6 linked regions of the Rattus norvegicus genome follow. The protein of the gene in region 3 purifies or fractionates together with the protein of the main gene of each other region. This does not show direct contact. Links are inferred from orthologs where the notes say so. Each region holds a gene or a part of one and is shown on either strand. Other genes may lie near its edges.

Region 1 (3,500 bases), on a different chromosome or scaffold from region 3:
TAGAGGCCAGCCTGATCTACAGAGTGAGTTCTAGGACAGCCAGGGCTACACAGAGAAACCTTGTCTTGAAATATTGAAGGAAAAACAAAAGAATGGTGAGGTTGGGGTTGGGGATTTAGCCAGCTCTGGGGAAAAAAAATGGTGAGGTTGGAGGTCAGAGGTCAGAAAAGATGAAGCAATTGCGGGGGTTGGGGGGAACCCAGTGGGGGTGTGCCTGGTCCTCGGAGAGGGGGCAAACAGTTGCTTTGAGCCTTCAGTGCTGACCATTTTCCCACTTTGTGTCTTGGCCAGATGTCCTCTTACTACTGATGACAGATGTGCTGGTGTTTCTCCAGGAAAAGGACCAGAAGTACATTTTCACGTCCCTGGTGAGCCTTCCTCTGTTCTCTCATCCATTTTCTTACCCAGCCCAAGAAAGTCTTGCTGAGTCCAATCCCTATCTATGTAAAAAAAAAAGTGAGGAGGTTGGGTATTTAGCTCAGTGGTAGAGAGCGCTTGCTAGCAAGCACAAGGCCCTGGGTTCAGTCCTCAGCTCTGGGAAAAAAAGAGAGAGAAGAAAAAAGAAGAAACGTGAGATAGCCGCCAGGTCCCGCTGCTGTGCTCGGGCAGGTTTGCCCCGTCAGGGAAGCTGTCATTAACTTCGTTTTGTGGATGACGAAGGTAAAGTTTAGTGCCTGGCGGTCCATGCCTGTAATGTCAGCTCTTGGGAGTTAGCGACAGGAGGATCAGGAGTGCAGGGTCATGAACCACACGGTGAGTTCAAAGTCCAGCCTAGACGACATGAGACCCCCCACATCTAAAAAATAACTAAATAAGTAAGTAAATTTACCATTGGAACAGTAGAGTAGACCTTTCACCCCACCCTTGGGAGGCAGAGATAGGTAGATCTCTGAGTTTAAGCCAGCCTTGTCTACATAGCAAGTTCCAAGCCCATCAGGGTCATAGAGTGAGACCTTATCTCAAAAACAGCAACTACAGCAAAAGTAAAGCAGGCACAAGCCCCAGTGCTGGGAGAGCAGAGGCCCAAGGGTCACAACGTTGAGGCTGTTCGGGGCCACATAGTGAGTTCAACCCCAGTTTAGGTTACATAGTGAGACCCAGAAGAGAGGGGGCGGGGAAGAAGGGAGGAAGGGAAGAAGTTGGAGGGAAGGAGGGACAGAGAATGTATCAAGGGACCCACACGCACATCTAAATTGTCCTGGCTGGTACTGATGCCTAGGGTTTTGGTTATGTATCACCATGTTCAATCCTTTTGGTATTCTAGAACTGAAACCCAGATATTAAGGGTTAGGGTGCCTTGGCTGAATTCTTCCCTTTTCCCCGACAGGACAAGCCCTCAGTGGTATCCTTGCAGAATCTCATCGTAAGAGACATTGCCAACCAGGCGAAAGGGATGTTTCTGATCAGTTCTGGCCCACCTGAAATGTATGAAGTACACGCAGCATCTCGAGATGACCGTACTACCTGGATCCGTGTCATCCAGCAGAGCGTGCGCTTGTGAGTGTGTGCCTGCGTGTACATACGGCTTCCAGTCCTAGGTGGAATACTTCCGGGGACTTAACTCATCATGAGAGGTTGGGGCAGAAGCTGGGAATAGACAAGATGAGTCAAGATAAGAGAAATCACATGAAAAGTTGTAATTTATATCCAGATAACCCAGCTATCCCTCCAAAGCACTCTGAACTGACAACGGTTTGTGTAGAGCTCTTTGGTGGTGGCAGACTTGCCAGCCAGTGACATAGTGCCAGCCTCATACATCACTGGCAGTAGGAAGAAGGCTCTAGTTTTTTTTTTTTTTAAGATTTATTCATTTATTACATATAAGTACACTGTCACTGTCTTCAGACACACCAGAAGAGGGCATCAGATCTCTTTACAGATGGTTGTGAGCCACCATGTGGTTGCTGGGAATTGAACTCAGAACCTCTGGAAGAGTAGTCGGGTACTCTTAACCGCTGAGCCATCTCTCCAGCCCTTACCTCTACTTTCTAAAAATGAAAGAATGGGGGTGATTGAAGCATTGATGTTAGTGAATTGAACACGTTTTATCCAAAATGTTGAGGACAGCCTGGTGTGGCATTAACACCTATATTCCCAATGCCTGGGAAGTGGAGGCAGAAGGATTCAGAGTTAAAGGCCAACCTTAATGCATGAGGAGCTCAGGACCAGCTTGGGCTGAGGCCCTGTCTTAAAAACTACAATAGGCCCAGCAGTGGTAGTGCACACCTTTAATTTCAGCACTGGGGAGGCAGAGGCAAGTGGATCTCTTGCGTTCGAAGCCAGCCTGGTCTACAGAGTGAGTTCCAGGATAGTCAGGACTACAGGAGAAACCCTGTCCAAAAACCCAAACCAAACCAAACCAAACCAAAACCCAACACACAGTTAGTGCTGTAGCTCAATTGTTAGAGTGCTTGTCTAGCATTCTGGAAGCCCTGGGCCCCTCCCCCAGCACCACATACATCAATGCTGCAACCCACAGAGAGTCAGAAGTTGGCAACAATAACAAAAGTTGACAAAATGGCTCTCCCGATGATGCGACCAGAGCTAGAGGTGGATGCAGGCTTTTTATATCCTTTGTAAGCCTGAGTTAGAGAGATGAGGATTGGTGCCAAGAGGGACTAAAGCCACGGTATGAGAGGAGGGTCATGTGCAAAGGAGAGAACGCTGACTGTTAGTGTCTCCCACAAACCAACCTGCCTGTCGCTCTGCAGATGCCCGTCGAGGGAGGACTTCCCTCTGATCGAGACAGAGGATAAGGCGTACCTCCGGAGGATCAAGAGTAAGTTCCCTCCAGGGAGTGGGCTGATCTATACCGTATCCACACAAAATACCATGCTGCTCTCAGAAAGGCTGGCTCAAAAAGGGACTGGAGAGATGACTCACAGGTTGAAAGCAATGGTTTCTCCATCGGAGGGCTCAGGTTTGATTCTCACCAGCCTGGTGACTCCCAATCGTTTAACTCCAGTGCAGTGGATCTCTGATGCCCTGGGCCACCTCATTCACAGGCACATGCATGATGAACATACCTATGAGCAGGCAAAACTCACACAGAATAAAATGATCTCAGGGAAAGTGAAAGCTTCATGTGAGCTGAGAGTCTGTCCAAAATAAACATGAAAAAGAGCTGGGTTTAAAACAATGTGAAGTGTATTGGGGTGTGTGTGTGTGTGTGTGTGTGTGCGCGCGCGCGCGTGTTGGTATATGTAAAATAGACTACTATCTCTCTGTCCCAAGGGCATCTAGTGTCCCCTTGTGGCCTCTGAGGGCACTGCCTGCACATGGTGCACAGATGTACACAGTATATAGACATATATGTGGGCAGAACACCCATATGATTAAAAATAAAGGTTACTGCTGGGCTTGGTGGCCCACGATTTTAATCCCAGCACTTGGGAGGCAGAGGTAGAATGATCTCTGTGAGTTCAAGGCTAAAATGATCTGTAAATCTAGTTTTAGGACAGCCAGGGCTATTCACATAGAGAAACCCTATCTCGGAAAAC
Region 2 (3,500 bases), on a different chromosome or scaffold from region 3:
TTCATCCAACCTCTAAGTTAAAAGACATTTTCTACTTTGTCTAAAAAATTGCCTTTAAATCAATTGTTTGTAAGAATTTGTTTCTGGGCTAGAGAGATGACTCAGAGGTTAAGAGCAATGGATGCTCTTCCAGAGGTCCTGAGTTCAAGTTCCAGCAACCACATGGCTTACAACCCACTCTGTTTTATTATGTCATTTCCTACTTAAATATAGCTTCACCGCTATTCACCAAGACCCACGCAACTCACACCTAAAACTCATGCGAGGAAGGGCTGACCTTACTATCTGAGCAATGATGTGACTAAACCTTTAGACAATCTTGGCCCGTCATAGACTTCTGGCTTCCTATCTGGAAAGTAGAGAAGACACTTACTTGAATGTCTAACTAATATGAGAAGTTTGTCTATTATAAAGCATGTTGTACGTCTGGAGAAGATTCAGAACATTTTAGATGCTTGTGACTCACTGTTGTTGGCTCTAGAATCAATTGTGTGCTCCATAACTGTGTAGCTCTTGACCATCTTGTCCATAGTTCATAGTGGCTCTAGGGAATTCTTAAACATCAAATAATCATTTTCTACCCCACCCTAAGGCAAAGACGTCATTTTCTTACTTGTATCGGATCTTTTCATCCATGTCTTGAGGTGGCTCTTCTATAATGAATGAGACTAAGTCTTCCAGACATTCTGCTTTTAACAGAAACTCTATGAGCTTTCGGTTCTGTGCTTTACATTCCTGTAAAACGTCCTCCTCGTCCATTAGCTCCTTCAGTGTTACATCTTCTCTCTCTAGAAGCGTGTCTATGTGGGATGATGAGTGAAGATCAAATTTCCAAAACATGCTGTTCTAAACGAGACAAAGAAAGATTTTCATAAAATTCAGGCTTTACTAATTTTCCACAAACCAAATTTCAGTTCAATTTTGATCTACAATGCCAACTTGGCATTGACACAAAAATAAAGCAGTTTCACACTTAACTTGCAAAATGATTTAATGAATAACACTAGTAGGATTTTTTTCTTTCTTAGAAAAAAATTTTAAAGAATTTATTTATTGGCTTTCTTTTTAGACTTTTTAAAAACTTTATTCACTTTTATTTATATGTGCATGACCTGCACGGAATGGTCCTGGAAGCCAGAAGAGGCTGGTAGATTCTCTAGGACTGGAGTTAACAGATATTTGTAAGCCACAAATGGGGCTGGGAATCGAAATTAGATGCTATCACTCCATCCCAGAAAATATTTTCAGTTGGCTAAAATGTTGAAAATGCTGAATACAAAAGTTTGGAATGATTTTAACCTGTAAAAGCATTTCATCCAAGTCAGCCTGGCACATACCCAAAACTCTTAAATTTTCAAGAGTGAGACAGGATGATCACAAGTTCTTGGCCAGCCTGAGCCACACAGCAAGAATCTGTCATCCCCCACCCTCCCCCGTCAATAAAAGTAAGAGGAAAAGAAGTAATTCATTCATACTTTAAGAATTTTTATGCTGGCTAGACACAGTGGCCTGCATCTTTAATCCCATCATTCTAGAGAAAGATTTGAGAGGATCTCTGTGTATTTGAGGACAGCCTGGTCTACATAGTCATCACCAGGATTCTATACAGACGCCCTGTCTCAAAAAAACAAAACAAACAAAAAGAATGCTGAAGGAGGATATCATGGCTCAGCAGGAAAAGGAGCTTGCTGACAAGTCTGAACACTAGAATTCGATCACCAAACTCCAGGGTGGAACGAGCTAGATTTTCCAAGTTGTCTTCTGACCTCTACAAGCATGTTGCCCATTAATTTAAAAAAAAATTTTAAGCAAAAATATTTCATACCTCAAATTCTACCACTTGGAGGGCTAAAGCAAGAAAATTACTGCATGTTCAAGTCTAGTCTGGTCTAAAAGAGAAAAACTGGAGGGGGAGGGGGAGAGGGAAGAGGAGAAAGCAGGCAGGCAGGGAGACTGAGAAACAGACAGAGACAGATAAAGATCAAGAATGACAGCAACTTGGGGTTGGGGATTTAGCTCAGTGGTAGAGCGCTTGCCTAGCAAGCGCAAGGTCCTGGGTTCGGTCCCCAGCTCCGAAAAAAAAAAAAAAAAGAAAAGGGGGAAAAAAAAAAAGAATCACGGCAACTCTTTTTTTTTTTTTTTTTGAAGGATGAAGAATAGATTCTTCAGAGAATTGCCATCTTCAACAACAAATGAGAATGAAGAGGCATAGCCAGAGCTTCCCTTATAACAGAGGAATACCACTGTAAAGCTGCAGGTGACTTCCCTTATAACAGAGGAATATCACTGTAAAGCTGCAGGTGACTTCACTAATAGCTAAAAGTCATAGAGTACCAGAAAAGAACTAAACTTTACAACTTCAAGAATTAAGACAAACTTACTATCCTAAGTCACTAAGAGAAACAGCTGACAGTCAACCCCCAACAATACTATAGTCTTTCCTCAACTTGGTCTCCATGCCTACAACCATGAAATGCTTGTTCTTCAAGTCACAGAGCCAAAAAGGCATTCGTTTGTTACGTATGGAATGTGGAAGAGGTCTCACAGGCCACTTCTAACCAGAAGGTAATAACAAGATGCAGCCATCCAGCACCAGGTCTCTGCAGCAACAGAACCAATCAGTCCAGGTATGCTAGCCTCTGAAGGGGTCAGAGACTTCCTTGAGAGTTGAGGCACAAGGCTACCATGTGCTCAAACAAAAGCTCTCCATCAGCTACAGCTTAGCCACCCACCCAGTCAAGTGCATCCTGGAAGGACTACCACCAGAAAAGCTCACCAATATCTACATGTTTTTACAAGCAAAAGGAAAGGTCCTACCTATGTAAAGCGGACCTACCTTTATACCTGTATGTTTTGCTAAATCACCCATACTTGATGTTCTCAAAATCACTTTCTTAAAGTAGAAAATTTAGGAAAGGGTGATGGCACTTAGTGATCCTAGCGCTAAGGAGGCAGAGATGAGTGGATCTCAGTTTGAGACCAACTTGGTCTACAGAGTGAATTCTCATGACAGTCAGGGTTAGACAGAGGAACCCTGTCTGGGAAAAAAAACACAAACAAGTAATAAAATAAATATAGAGGAATTACAGAGGCAAACTTTACTCATGCTCCTAGTCAAAGTGACTGACTGACCCAAAAATGAGAGCTGAAAAGCAGACTGTGCACAGTGGGTTGTTCCAAGGAGCGTCCCCTTCACATGGCAGGTGCTGAGCCTGACTCTCCAACAAGCAACCTCATTAAGAAAAGTTCAAGAAACCTTAGGGAACAGTTTCATAAAGCAATACTGCTAAGTGTCAACTATCACCAAAGTCAGTTTATAACACCTTTACATGCTCTCAAGGACACTGGCAAATCTGCTCACAATCTTGAGCTGCAAGAAGACTAAGAGCCAAGGAAGGACAAACAGCAGCTGCTCGGTTCACATGACCCAAATTCACACTCCTCACTTGAAAAGGATACATGAGGGGTGGGGAAGCAAACAACACAGCTCCACCGGGAGG
Region 3 (3,500 bases):
ACCTTTTCATACATTTAAATAGCAATTATAGAACTTGCATGTAATAAGTCAGGACCTTTTATTTTAAAGAAGCACCTGGCATTACCAGCATTTACATACCATAAATATGTAGTTTGTGTCAGGAACCTGACCTCCAGTTCTGAACAGTTCGCAAAGATCATAAAACTGTAAAAGAAAATCAATATATGCTAATTACAAATTCCTGTGAATGAGTAAGATAAATTGAGAATAAGACATGTATAGAAACAGTTTAATAGATTTCAAATATTTACATTTGAAAGAAGAAATAGTGTATATGCAAAACTGCCAAGAATCTAATTCCTAAACCTAAAAAGCATGAAGGTAAAAACAAATTGGTAGAAACTGGAGAGGTAGCTCAGAGGTTAAAAGCATTGGCTGCTTTGCCAGAGAACTTGGATCTAGGTTAGCCTTGAATTTTGCAATTCCTGCCTCTGCTTCACCAAGAGGAGCAGTGTTTGTTAGCATTCTCATATAATAATGCATACTTTATTTCAAATACTATGTCAAAATCCAACAAGACAAATAAAGATTAATTCACAATATAAAATCTAAAATCATATTAGAATGAATATAACACCATACCACAATATGGTCAGACTACTGCCACCTGCTTTGAGTAAATGATATACTGGTCATTAGGAGTATGAAATGATACTTCTTTATATGTCATTAAATATTTGCTAACATCATCACTTATCAGAAAAGTCTTTAAAAAGTATCAGAAACTTTCAGGCATTTCTTTAATCCTAGTCCTTGAGAGGCAAGGATGGATGGAGTTTTAAGCAAGCCTGGTTTACATACATAGTGAGTTCAAGGCCAGCTGGAGCTATATAGTGAGACCCCGTATTAAGAAAATAAAAGTTAGGTTCATGATTAAACTGAAACTTTCCCAAATCCAAAATTTTCATTAGTAAACTCAAATATTGTCACTAGCAACTGTTTCCTTTAAAATTACTAGTTTACCTCCTTCATCTTTACAATATCTAAGTCTAAGTAACCAGTTTGTCACTTTTCTCTCAAAAGAAAAGCAGCTTTAGAAATTTTATTTATCATTTTACATCCTGCTCACTGCCCCCCTTCTGATCACCCTCTCCTACAACTCTTCCCTCATACTCCTCCTTTTCCTCTGAGCAAGTCGTATCAGTTTTTTTTAACTCATGATTCAAAGTAGCCAAGAACACTTTTCCTTGAGGAAAACTTATCTCTGGGATGTTTCGCATTCCACAGCAGAGCACAGAGCTGCGTATCCTCCACACCAAGAGGTCCTAATAATATTTGCTGCTTGAGTGAGGACAATCTTAAGCAAAACTGGAGTCACTCCCCTTAGTCACAGTAAAGCACAAGAAGATTTTTTGTTTCTTTTGGTTCTTTGAGGCAGGGTCTCTCTACATAGCCATTATCTGTACTAGAATTCACTATGTAGACCAGGCAGACCCAAAACTTGGATTAAAAGTATGCACCATCATACCCTGTGCACTAGAAGTTTCTCTCTCTCTCTCTCTCTCTCTCTCTCTCTCTCTCTCTCTCTCTCTCTCTCTCTCTCTCTCTCTCTCCTGCTTTTACCACTTGCAAGGTCCGGAGGCCCCGTTTAGAGAATCTGTGTGCAAGCTCAGGTAGCTTAGGTAGCCGGTATATGGCCCAATCCACATTTTTTTGAAGTATATAATCTATTCCCTAATCATAATGCCAATGTTTCTCATCACCACGTTATTGCCAATACATTAATTTAAACTCATAACTTGATCCTGAAATTAAAGACTGCAATTTCATATTTATTTTTTACATATTAAAAAGTCTTGGTCATATGGTATGGTGGCACACACCTGTTATGCTACCACTAATAAGCTGAGGTAGAAGGATACCAAGTTTCAGGCCTCAAAAAACCAAAAGAGGGGCTGGAGAGATGACTCGGCAGTTAAGAGCACAGGCTGCTCTTTCAGGAGACCTGGCTTTGGTTCCTAGCACCTGTACTGCAGCTAACGACTATCTGTAATGCCAGACTCCAGTTCTAAGAAATCCCATGCCCTCTTTCAGCCTCCATAGGCATCAGGCATACAGAAAAAATACCCATACACATAAAAACAAACAAACAAACAAACAAACAAACAAACAGACAAGCCAAAATACAAACAGAAGAAGCTCCTACTTATGATCCTAGTACTTAGGCAGCTGAGGCAGGACTGTCACTGTCTAAAAAAGTGTTTGAAAAAGCAAAAAGGAAATAGCGTTTAAGGTAGCTAAACTGTTTTTTTATTTATGAAGCAGCCTCTATTCAGGAACAAATTAGACACATTTTCTCCCTTTACACCATCACATTAGGAAGGGAACTGGCAGTCAGTCAGTTGAATGGTAGAGTGACTGTTAGGAACATATTCCAGGTCCTACTGTCCCAATTATAAAGTATGTCCACAGCAGGGTATGAGTAAACTCCTCAGCCTTTAGTTCCCAGTGAGGAACTTCTCCAGTCAGGTAGTGTTAGAACACTATCAGTAGGCTCTAATGTCAAACTGTAATCTCTAGTCCGTGAGTTAGAATTCTTATAAACAGACAAAGGCAGCAGGTGGTGGCTGAAGAGATGGCTCAGTTAATAGCGTGTGCTGCTCTTCCTGGACCAGTGTTTAATTATTGGCACCTATATTAGGTGGCTCACTACCATCTGTAATTCCCTTGCCAGGAGATCCAACTCCTTTGGCCTCAAAGCACACCTGCACACACATGCACATTACAGTACACAACACACCCAATTAAAATAATAAAATTTAAAGTTAAAAAAAATGAAAAAATTTTAGCAGGTATTTCAGATCCTACAGTCCCAATGGAAAAAAAATGAACTAAATCGCTTTCATCTCATTCTACCAGTGACTTGCTATAAAATTATGCAATATTTCTCTTCTGAACCTTTGCTATTCTCATTCTCAGCAAAGAAATTAGCAGATTTTAATAAGACATAATTGAATGAACAAGAAAGTGCTTAAAATCCAACCATTTCATGTTAACTGTAATTACCATTAGTGTTTATCTTATATTTTGCGTCTTCCACCTTCACAGAATGCCCCACACTGTTCCACAGAACAACACAGCAATCTATATACTTTACAAGTGGAATTCAGAAAAAGGTTATGACGTATTTGACCACTGCTTTTATTTGCCAGTGAACCAAAAACCACTCATGGCATGAAGACTCACACCACCTAATCGCCAGTTGGGTTTTGTTTTGTTTATTTTGCAGCACAAGTTAGAAACAAATGGATCACTGGCAGTACAAACACTAAAACTTCCTTGCGAAATTTACCTGTCCATGTATGTCCCCGCACACTGTTACTGGCGTTGATACAGGCTGAACATTCGACTCTTCCAAGAGCAGATCACAAACATAGTCACATAGCCGCTGAAAGGAGAAAGGAAAGAAAATGCCAAGTTTTACAACAAGTTTTAAAAATAAAGGTAAAAAACAAAACAAAACAAGCAAATCAAACCAA
Region 4 (3,500 bases), on a different chromosome or scaffold from region 3:
GGGCGCACTTTCTGAGTCCACGGGGTTAGGATCAATTCTTTCTGGAAATACTAGCTTCTCACAAACTGCTTCCTTAATTGGTAAATATTGTGATATTTCATTAGGTTCCGTGAAGAGGGAAGGTGGAACATGCTAGGAAAAACATAAAATCTTATTAGTATATTCTCAGTTGTGGCTCAGACAATTTCTGAAATTCTCTAGTATAAGCATTCACAAAGCATGCTAATTTCAAAACTGGGAAAATCACATCCATGTAAGAAGCATCATTACGTGTTCCCCTAAGTAACAGTATTTCCCATTACTGAATCATTCAACTGTGTTGTTGATCTTCAAGAGACCTGGTGTTACATGATTCACGGTGCTACTGTAAGTGCTGAGAGAATCCTACACATTTTGATCAAATCCCTCCCTAGTTCTGTTACTTGAGTAACTTGAAAGTCAAATCTTCAGTTAGAGCCCAGAGCATACTGTGTGAGTTACTGAGTAACTATTCTAACCCAAGCATACTCCATATTCAGACAGAATAAGTACTATGGCTAGAAAAATACTTATTTTGTAGAAAGGTACTAAGCCACTCAATTACAAAACCCAAGTACCCGGAAAAGGCTTCACACATTCCAGGGGAGCAAAAAATACAGGAAAATTATGCCAGAATACACAGACCCTGGTACAGAATGACCAGTTTTTGGAAGAAAAAAGAATGTGTAAAAACATATACATACAAATAACATTATAGAGTAAGTAGGATGTGTCTAAGTGTTTAGAATGTACATGCACAACAATTATGGAAGAAAACGAGACCATGAATTTGAAGATTAAGGTACAGCATGGGAGGCCTTGGAGGGGAAAGAGGAAACGTATGAACTATAGTATAATCTCAAAAAATGAAAAAATTAAATAAACATTCTAGAATGTCAAGGTGCTAAGTCAGAGGACCATCCACAGCACCAGCTGCAGCAATGGGACTCACGTCAGCCCTCTGCATCTCAGTTTCTCCCCAATCAGCAGTGGGACTCAGACAATGACAGCAAAGATCTCTAGGCGCCCTGGCGCTTGAGGCAAGCTCAGAAGAGATGCCCTCCAACAGACACTCCCTCCAGAGTGCAAGATAAGTTTGCTTTGGTAGGAGTAAAAGGACCTGGTCCCCACGGCTGGAACAGGGCACGTGACTCGTCTGTTTAACAATGTACACATTTTCACAGTCCTCCCTCGAGGAATGAACTCCCCGTTAACATTAATGACTTTCTGAGTCCATGAGGTGAAGGTGTAGCTAATGTCTCAGCAAAATGGTAAACGCTGGGATCTTCATCAAGAACTCTGAAAACATAAGTTCAAAAATATATAATATCTCAACTATGTAAAATACAAGGATGACATATAATTTATATGAGGGGCTTCACAAATCTAAAGGAACAAAAGCAGCTATGCTGTGAGCCAAGTTGTCAGAAAGATACAAGAAAGGAGATAAAGTGATTTAGGGAGTGGTGAGCGAAGGAGATCCTACCCAGCTACTTACAAAGGCAGACAGATTCCTGAGTTCAAGGTCAGCTTGGGACGGAAAGAATTTAGGTCCAGGCCCCACCCAGCTAGTTTATCTCTGTGCTTAACCAAAGGAGACAGATCTCTGAACTCTTCTGTGATGTTAAAAAAAAGAAAACCGTGTATGCTGGCTGTCTCTTAAGAATCAAGGGTCCTGGGGTACAGATCCATAGGATAATCAAAAGGGAACCTAGGGTAATGACTGAATTGATATTATAAACTGGGCATTTGATCATCAAGAGATGAGCCATCCAGAGATGGTTTTAGACCTGCAAGCAAAACCTGTCTAGAGCACAGCATAGGTTGTCAACTTGTACCTGCAATTTGACTTCCAGATGTTTGTTTCCCTGCTCTCAGACACTACTTCTCTAAGAACAAGCAGAGGATGGTCCTTGGCACACATGTTCTGATGCAAATTTAGATGAATGGGTGATACCAGACTTAAAATGAATTATTAGAATTCAAAATCTAAACACTTAAAATTTAAGTATTTACCATTAAATTAGCAATTTTGCTCTCTCTGGATGTATATTCTCGTAACATGTAGGTCTTGTCAGCCTATATTAAAAAAAAATCACAATATATTTTTATTTATTTATTTTACAGAATCCTCTGTATAAAACAAACTAAAAACAAGCAAACAAACGAAAAACCCCACCCTTCTGTACAGTTTTCCATCTTGTTTTGTTTTGTTTTGTTTTGTTTTGTGAGACAGGGTAGCCTGGGTAGCCCTGGCTGTCCTGGAACTTACTCTGTAGACCAGGCTAGCCTCAAACTCAGCCATTTAAAACTTAAGGTTAGGGGGTTGGGGATTTAGCTCAGTGGTAGAGCCCTTGCCTAGGAAGCGCAAGGCCCTGGGTTCAATCCCCAGCTCCGAAAAAAAAGAACCAAAAAAAAAAAAAAAAAAAAAAAAAAAGACTTAAGGTTAGGTTAAAAGAAGGCATGGTGGTAAATGCCTTTAATCCCAGCACACTAGGAAGGCAGAGGCAGGCAGATTTCTGTGAGTTCTAGGCCAACCTGGTCTGCACAGTAAGTGCTAAGATAGCCAGAGACATTAAAACAAGGAAGGAAGGAAGGAAGGAAGGAAGGAAGGAAGGAAGGAAGGAAGGAAGGAAAAAGAGAGAGAAGAAAAACAAAAGAAAGGCAGACAGAAAGAAAAGTGCAATTTATTACAATTTGCTTTTTGGATAAATACAGTTTAAAAAAACTAAAAAATTCTATTTCTTTAAGGTTGCAGTCTTTTTTATACCAATAAGAAACAAGAAAAAAATTAATGTTCACCATAGTCAATAACAGAAAAGTATAAATAAGAAAAATAAGTTATCAATCATAGCAGTTCTGGTAACACAGCCTTACTCATTTCAAAACCTCTACATCAGATCTTAAGTTCATACTACACTTTAAAAATTCAACCGTAAGACAATCAACTTTCCAAATTAGCTCAATTCTATTTCCTACCATCAATGTTGATGGGTGTCTATTTTTCTGCTACTACTATATGGATATAAAGAAATCAATCAAATTTATTAAGTTCCTCCATGTTATATAAACAATACTGCTATGAATGTTCAAGTATATACAACTCTGATCAACCACATGATATTTATAAATTACTGCATATTTTAGGAAAAAATTATTAAAAATAGAATTAAGTATAAACAGTATTTTTGAGACTTAGATTAGAGAAAAATGTAATACTTTGGTTTTGCTTATACAAAGGGAAAAGGCTAGCAGGTGTGGTAAGGAGTGCCTCTAACCTCAGCAAAGGAAGGTGGTTCTCCGAGACCAGCCTGATTGAAAGACTAAGTTCTAGAACAGCCAGGGCTACATAACAAATAGGACAGGGAAGGGGAGGGGGGGAGAATAATCACAGCCACTGTGTTGTTTCAAGGAGACAACAAATGTCTAAATAAAGGATTTGGGGGGAAATGTCAATCTAACCCAATCCAACCAGGTTCAAA
Region 5 (2,741 bases), on a different chromosome or scaffold from region 3:
GTACCTTGTCTCCTGGTAGGGTCCAGCCCTGAGACTTCTATTGCACCCTGAACTTATGTGGAGCCTCAGAGCGTTTGTACGGGCTGCAAGCCATTTCCAGTATCCTGTATCCACAGGCTACGCCTTATGCTCCTGAGCCCCCCCACCTGCTCTCTGCACCTGAATGTCAGGGCTGTGAACTCCCTGGTGAACATGGGCTTAGTTATGTGAGAGTCACTGGGTAGCTCCTCGACACCTCGGTCCTGTATCTTCTCATCTTGACCACTCAAAATAGAAACGCTTGCTGGAGTGGCTGGCCTCTTTGCAGGGGGATAGTGACATTCCTGGTTCCTTCCCTAGGGAAGGAAGGCCTTCAGACGACACCTCAGGAGGACTCTGGCTTGTCCACCTGTGAGTTGCTTCTACTTCCCAGCCAGGTCTTGGACTACAGACCCAGTCCCCAACCCTGAGGTGTGCTTCGTCCTACTGTGTGAGCATGCAGGGCACCTGACTGGAATCAACAAGTACCCGACCATAAAGGGCCCGGCACAAGAAGGGCAACAGGAAAGGGCTAGCCAGAGCCATATGCTTGCCCTATACAAAGTTAAGGGTGATGGGCCACTTTTCTCCCACTATCTGAGACAACCCTAGAGTTAGCCAGTCCCAGAGCCTGGAAACCAGGTATTCTATGAAACTGGCCTCTAGTGGAGACTGTCCTCCCAAGTTCCTGGGGAGCTCTTGGGACACCCAAGTTCTATCTTCTACTCTTAATCATTTAAAACAGAAAATACAAGTCCAGCCCTCCAGTTGAGCCTTCCCCTTGGTAAAGAGGCACTGTCTTTTCTAGAGACAGCCTCACAGGATCATTAGCCATGGTGCAGCAGCAAGGAGTTCCAGTCTGGCCTCCACCTGTTTTCAGGGAGCTGACATCTGGCCACTGGGCCCTGTTCTCAGTGGCTACAAAGCTAGTGACTTGTAGCCCTCAGAAGCCACACGGTGTTCACAGGGCCCCCAGGAAAACTTGGCATTCCCTTCGCACCTGCCAGCAGCAGCCTCTGCTGTCCTGGGTGGCGGGGAGGCCTTTCCAGTATGGCCTGCGCACAGAGCTTCCACAGCACCCGCTGCCTTCTCGTCATCTTCACTGTCAGATCCCCCAGAGGAGCTGCTGTCAGAGGCTACCAGTGGGGCCTTCCTAGTGACACACACGTTCCAGGCACAAGGCGAGGTAGGACCAACTATAAAAGAAGAAATCCTGCGGTATCTGTGAGGGCAGAGGAGCCAGAGACCACAGCTACCATGGCCTCAGTGACCTTGGATTTGCATGAGCCAGTGTGAAAGATGAGAGGCTGATGTTGGCTCCCTGAGTGTTAGACGTGTGTATGTGCGTGCTCTCGGGAACCACATGGACTGCTATGTATGTGGCTTCCGTGTGGACTGTCCCACTGCTCCACAGGATGAGTAGGATATGTGTGTGCTCTTCTCAGAGCAGGAAGCAAGGGGTCAGAGATGCCACTTCAAACCTAATGCCCAGAAAAGACGTCAATCTTCTCACCTGCTCTAACCCAGTCCAGTTTCCTGGGAAGGAGATGAGAGCAAGGACTTTTCAATCAAGTCCCATGTTGGCTTCCCATCAGGGACACATCTACATAACTTAATGTGACTCAAAGATGCAGGTGGGTTGTACGGTACAGACCTGAGCCATGAGGGCACCCTAGTGGGTATGTTACCCTGCCCTGTACCCCTAAAGCTGGAGGACCCTAAAGCTCTTCATGTATTGCACAGTGAACAGTACATGCCAACTCCAATCCCACAAGTATGTAAGGATCCCAACACCACAAAGACAGCCACACCTGGGGCCTTAACCACTTCCCACTTTCTCAATGGGGTCTAGCCTTGCGTCAGGCCTGGGAACTAGTCAAGGCAGGTGTCTGAGCTGCTGCTACTCACAGGCTTTCTCTGGGCCTGGACTCTGGCCACCCTCGGCATTGCTGTGGTCCATGTCCACAGGAGAGCTGCACCGGGGCCCTGTCTCAGAGCTATAAAAGAAGATGAGGACAGGCTGAGCCGATTGGGCAACGCCGGTCCTGACACCCAACAGGCATGACTCCATTTCTGATGTTTGTTACCAGCAGAAAGGCTGGAAGTCGGTGAATTTGGCCCAGCCTTTCTCCTCTGCAACTGAAGGACCAGCCGCCCATGCACTAGAACCCACATCCCTCGCAGCTCCTGAGGCTGCAGACAGCGGGTTCACTGGCTCATCAAAAACTGCTGTCCATGTAGTACCTGCCAGAGGGAGATGCAGCAGTCAGGAGTAGGCAGGCCTAGTATGTGACAGACACGGGAGAAGCAGCACTCACGGAGATAGGGAGAGGATCATCAGAGATGAACAGGAATGCAAGATGCTCCCAGTTAGGAGTCCTCAGAAGAGCACTCCCTGTCTCAAGTGACAGGGATGGCAGCACTCCCCAGTAGTGCCTACTGGGGCTTTGCAAAGGGTAGTATGGCCTCCAACCCTGAACACTTGGGAGTAAGGGCCCCTGTAAGTTACCTGGAAAGGGTCTTGTAAATCATCTACTGGGACAGAGCGCATGTGTGGGCGTCAGTGTTTGCTGAGGCAGTGCCTCATGAGATAACTGTAAGGCCCCGTCTAGCCTCCAGGAAGGCTGATGGTACAAAGTAGGTACCATCTCACCTGTCCCAACCCAGGTCATAGCAGGCTCTCTGCTCCCTTTGATGCTGGCATGGGTGGCCCCTGCTGTGGG
Region 6 (3,500 bases), on a different chromosome or scaffold from region 3:
GGTTTTAAACCCCCTGGATTTATGTACTAGAAACCAAAACCAAGTACTTTGCAAGACTGTCAAGAGCTATTGACTGCTGAGCCATTTCTCCAGCTCCTCTAGTCCATGGGAAAGGAGACAGGCTGACCACATAACCCCTACAGGGCACATCCATTATCTGATTTGAGCACTGGGCAGCCAATTGGAAGAAGCAGGCAGGCAGGCTGAAGGAGGTGTGTTTGGGCATCAAAGCACTAGGGTGCATTTTGTGGGGTGTGGGGAATATTAGACAACTCGTGAGTTAACTAAGTGGACGGTCACAAAGATACTGCTTTTATCTAATGCCCATTATCCTCCTTAGTTTTAAAGACCCACTAATGCTCTCGTGAGCTTCTTGTGTCTCCTTGGTCTCCTCCTTGCTTTAATGCCTTCTCACCTCTTCCTGAGACCCTGTATGGGCTCCATATATAGAATGTGGGGCTCTGAATCACTATTCATTGGTTCTATTTTTCTCTTTCCACAAGCCTCAGACCTTCATGAAGATATTACACTCCTTCAGTTCTTTCTACCCTTTCCTAACTCTTTCTCATCCTGTGCTCTGTGTCTTTTTTCTCCTCCAGTCTTCCCTCAGCCTCTCCAGTCATACTGTTATATACTCTCTCCTTGGATGGCAACCAACCCTTCCTGTCACCTTTATGTGACTGAAGCAATCTAAGAACTATTTTTTCATATCTTTATTGCCCTTCTATGCTAAAACATCACATTTTCTACCACTGTGTCCCCAACCTGGCTCAACATGAGTTTCTCAAAACTTAGACACAGAACCTGTGAGATGGCTCAGTGGGTAAGGAAGGGTATTCACTGCCAACTCAGGGTACTCAAGTTCGATTCTCATAACCCACATAATACAAGAAGAGAACTAACTCCTTGCAAGTTGTCCTCTGACACCCACATGCATGTGTGCTATAGCACATATACTGTACCCACACACAAAATAAATAAGAGTCAGCTTGCCTCCTATGCCACTCTAGCTCCTGCCATCCTCTTAGTGAATGGGAACAATATCAAGTGCTTACTGTATGACAGCTCTGAGCTGTACAATTAGGTATGACAACCGTGCTTAATCTTCACAACATGCCCACGAAGAAGATGCTATTATTTCCCTTATTTTACAAGACATAGGTCATTTTTAGTTAAGGCAGTCTGGCCTCAGAACAAAGATGTGTCCATTCTATAGTGTCACGCCCCTTCCAAGATTCCATTCCTCATCTTCAGGTCCTACCCCTTGTCTTGCCAACCTTTGATAATTCTCCCTCCGATAGGCTTCTCCCTTGAGTGGCCCCTCCCACTCCTCATTGGCCCCTCCCACTCCTCGGCCTGACTCATTACCTACCTCAGTTTCACTAACTGCCAGTTATTTTGAAGCCATCCCATTTGTAGGTCTGCTGTAGCTACCTTTCTTCCTCCTCAGAATGAAAAATGCTTTCTTTTGAATTTAAAAATAACATGGCCACAGAACAGAGAGACTGTAAGAAAAACTGTAAAATATCTAATGGTAAATAGAGGTTCTAAAATATCTTGAATTAAACTTAGTCCTGAAATTAAACTTTTGAAACCATGACTTTTCAACATAGACACGGAAGATCCTGAAACTGTGCTCTAAGGGTCCCGAATGCAAGCAGGAAGGAAAAGTCACCAATTCGCACACAGCTTCTCTTATCCACGGCTCGTGCACACTATTCTCTGTTGGGAATGCCCTCTCCCGAATTATTTCTGTGGCTCCTCTCAAATACTCTGCTCAAAAACAAACTCCTTTCTTTTTTTTAATCCCCAAACAATAGACAAGCCAATATGTGCGTCATCTACTTCGCAAAGTTTTACTCCTCTTCTTCTCTTGGCACTCATCACGTTTTGCCTCAAGTGCCTGAGTGGGTTTTATCTCCTGTATTGTGAATCAGTAATGGCCAGGGATCTCATCTCATGTTTGGATTTTCCTCTGCTGTCAAACTAAGAGCAGGGCAGTCCTTAAGCAACTCCGTGGCTGATGGAGTGCTCGCCACTATCTGGTCAATGATCCTTCACCAAAGAACAGCTTGCTGAAGAAAACCATTTGAAGGGCATGCTGGGATTGGGAACAGTCATGAGTTAGTCCTTCCTCTGTCTTCTCAGCAGCTCTCCCCGCTCAGCTAACTGTGCTATACTAAAATATAGGCTGAGTTAGCGCCTTCAAGGCCTGATATTCATCCTGGAGCATTCATTAATCCACAAAGGAGATACGACTGGAGACTTGGTGCCTGCCTACATGCTGATACCATCATGCCCAGAGAGGCAACCTAGCTGTTTCCATAGCATTTCCATCCAGGATAAGGCTACGTGAATCGAAGCGCTTCCGATTCAGGAAAACACAGCAAAACTGACAGTAGTTAGGTTGGCTCAAAGGCTCGGTGCAAAGGTGTTTAAGGCAGAGAGATGGAGTGTCATACCTGAATGTTCACATCGGCCCCATTGTTGACTAACAGTTCCAGACACAGAGCACCGTGAGTAGACGCCGCTGCAAAGTGCAGAGGGGTGAAGCCACTGTTGTTAGGCTGGTTCACGTTAGCGCCGTAGTCGATCAGCTCATTAACGACAGCATCCTGGCCATTGTAGCAGGCAATGTGAAGTGCTGTGTTTCCATAGACATTGATTTCATCAATCTGCAAAGCACCCAACAAGGGAAATTAAAATCACTGAAGCCAATTTACTCCATTCGCCACAAAGGCGAGAGAAAAGAAATATCCACCTATCAATGTAATTATTCAGAGCTCACTTGCTCCCCAATGGGTTATCCTGAGAACGCCTGTATCCTCAACCCCCTGCCCTCCTGGGGAAAAAGAATCAAAATTGAATATGATCCCCCCCCCAAAAAAACATAGCCCAAGGTTATTAGAGGCTTCAGCCTGTGGAGGGGTTTATCCAGACGGAGACGGATAAATACAGTGGAAAGCAAAGAGACTTTCGCAATGCTAGAGAAGTAAAGGACAAACCCCAACTCAGGGCTTGGGAACTGTGACCATGAAGAGAGAAGACGGGTAGCAAGACAGTGGCTTGTGGGCCCTGTGCCCTTGAGTCAGGCTCAGAATCAATTCTGCCTTCACGCTGGAGCCTGACACCTCAGGAGCGAATCTTCCTGCAGAGCTGAGGTGTGTTATAGTCCATGGCTCCCTGTTCTTTCCCAGACCTGCTCAAGGATCTGGATGTTAGCATCTTGGTTTCAGACCACACTTGACTCTCCTTTCCTCCAGGGGTAAGACGCCCTGAGCATTACTGCTCCCAGGTGAAGAAGAAGAGGGCTGGCCGACAGTTCAAGCTCACCATCGCCGTTCCTTACTCAACCCCCACCATCCATTTACTCCCCCCTGCTGTGAGCCTCACCTTCCAAGGTGCAATTCTGACTAGGCCTTTAAAATGACTGATCATTACATATTACACCAAATATAAATGTTAGCCGGGAGGTGGCGGTGCATGAGGCCAGCCTGGTC

Evidence for each region.
Region 1: the proteins of Ppp6c (region 3) and Arhgef2 purify together in Homo sapiens (affinity purification with mass spectrometry; 4 studies listed by BioGRID and IntAct, with this or other methods). This does not show direct contact. The link is inferred for Rattus norvegicus from reciprocal best matches to the Homo sapiens genes PPP6C and ARHGEF2.
Region 2: the proteins of Ppp6c (region 3) and Ppp6r3 purify together in Homo sapiens (affinity purification with mass spectrometry; 10 studies listed by BioGRID and IntAct, with this or other methods). This does not show direct contact. The link is inferred for Rattus norvegicus from reciprocal best matches to the Homo sapiens genes PPP6C and PPP6R3.
Region 4: the proteins of Ppp6c (region 3) and Tiprl purify together in Homo sapiens (co-immunoprecipitation; 4 studies listed by BioGRID and IntAct, with this or other methods). This does not show direct contact. The link is inferred for Rattus norvegicus from reciprocal best matches to the Homo sapiens genes PPP6C and TIPRL.
Region 5: the proteins of Ppp6c (region 3) and Ppp6r2 purify together in Homo sapiens (affinity purification with mass spectrometry; 9 studies listed by BioGRID and IntAct, counting the BioPlex papers as one, with this or other methods). This does not show direct contact. The link is inferred for Rattus norvegicus from reciprocal best matches to the Homo sapiens genes PPP6C and PPP6R2.
Region 6: the proteins of Ppp6c (region 3) and Ankrd44 purify together in Homo sapiens (affinity purification with mass spectrometry; 5 studies listed by BioGRID and IntAct, counting the BioPlex papers as one, with this or other methods). This does not show direct contact. The link is inferred for Rattus norvegicus from reciprocal best matches to the Homo sapiens genes PPP6C and ANKRD44.

Annotation. Positions count from the first base shown.
Region 1 is NC_086020.1:176,405,599-176,409,098, forward strand, and holds part of Arhgef2 (rho guanine nucleotide exchange factor 2), read left to right. Parts: intron 1-291; coding exon 292-368; intron 369-1,327; coding exon 1,328-1,497; intron 1,498-2,711; coding exon 2,712-2,779; intron 2,780-3,500. UniProt on the Homo sapiens protein: Activates Rho-GTPases by promoting the exchange of GDP for GTP.
Region 2 is NC_086019.1:210,188,310-210,191,809, forward strand, and holds part of Ppp6r3 (serine/threonine-protein phosphatase 6 regulatory subunit 3), read right to left. Parts: intron 847-3,500; 5' UTR 841-846; coding exon 614-840; intron 1-613.
Region 3 is NC_086021.1:43,351,308-43,354,807, forward strand, and holds part of Ppp6c (serine/threonine-protein phosphatase 6 catalytic subunit), read right to left. Parts: intron 3,410-3,500; coding exon 3,314-3,409; intron 166-3,313; coding exon 100-165; intron 1-99.
Region 4 is NC_086031.1:80,061,041-80,064,540, forward strand, and holds part of Tiprl (TIP41-like protein), read right to left. Parts: intron 2,098-3,500; coding exon 2,035-2,097; intron 133-2,034; coding exon 1-132. UniProt on the Homo sapiens protein: May be a allosteric regulator of serine/threonine-protein phosphatase 2A (PP2A). Isoform 1 inhibits catalytic activity of the PP2A(D) core complex in vitro. The PP2A(C):TIPRL complex does not show phosphatase activity.
Region 5 is NC_086025.1:122,231,044-122,233,784, reverse strand, and holds part of Ppp6r2 (serine/threonine-protein phosphatase 6 regulatory subunit 2), read right to left. Parts: intron 2,263-2,741; coding exon 2,106-2,262; intron 2,016-2,105; coding exon 1,927-2,015; intron 1,215-1,926; coding exon 1,019-1,214; intron 1-1,018. UniProt on the Homo sapiens protein: Regulatory subunit of protein phosphatase 6 (PP6). May function as a scaffolding PP6 subunit. Involved in the PP6-mediated dephosphorylation of NFKBIE opposing its degradation in response to TNF-alpha.
Region 6 is NC_086027.1:63,743,941-63,747,440, forward strand, and holds part of Ankrd44 (serine/threonine-protein phosphatase 6 regulatory ankyrin repeat subunit B), read right to left. Parts: intron 2,676-3,500; coding exon 2,463-2,675; intron 1-2,462. UniProt on the Homo sapiens protein: Putative regulatory subunit of protein phosphatase 6 (PP6) that may be involved in the recognition of phosphoprotein substrates.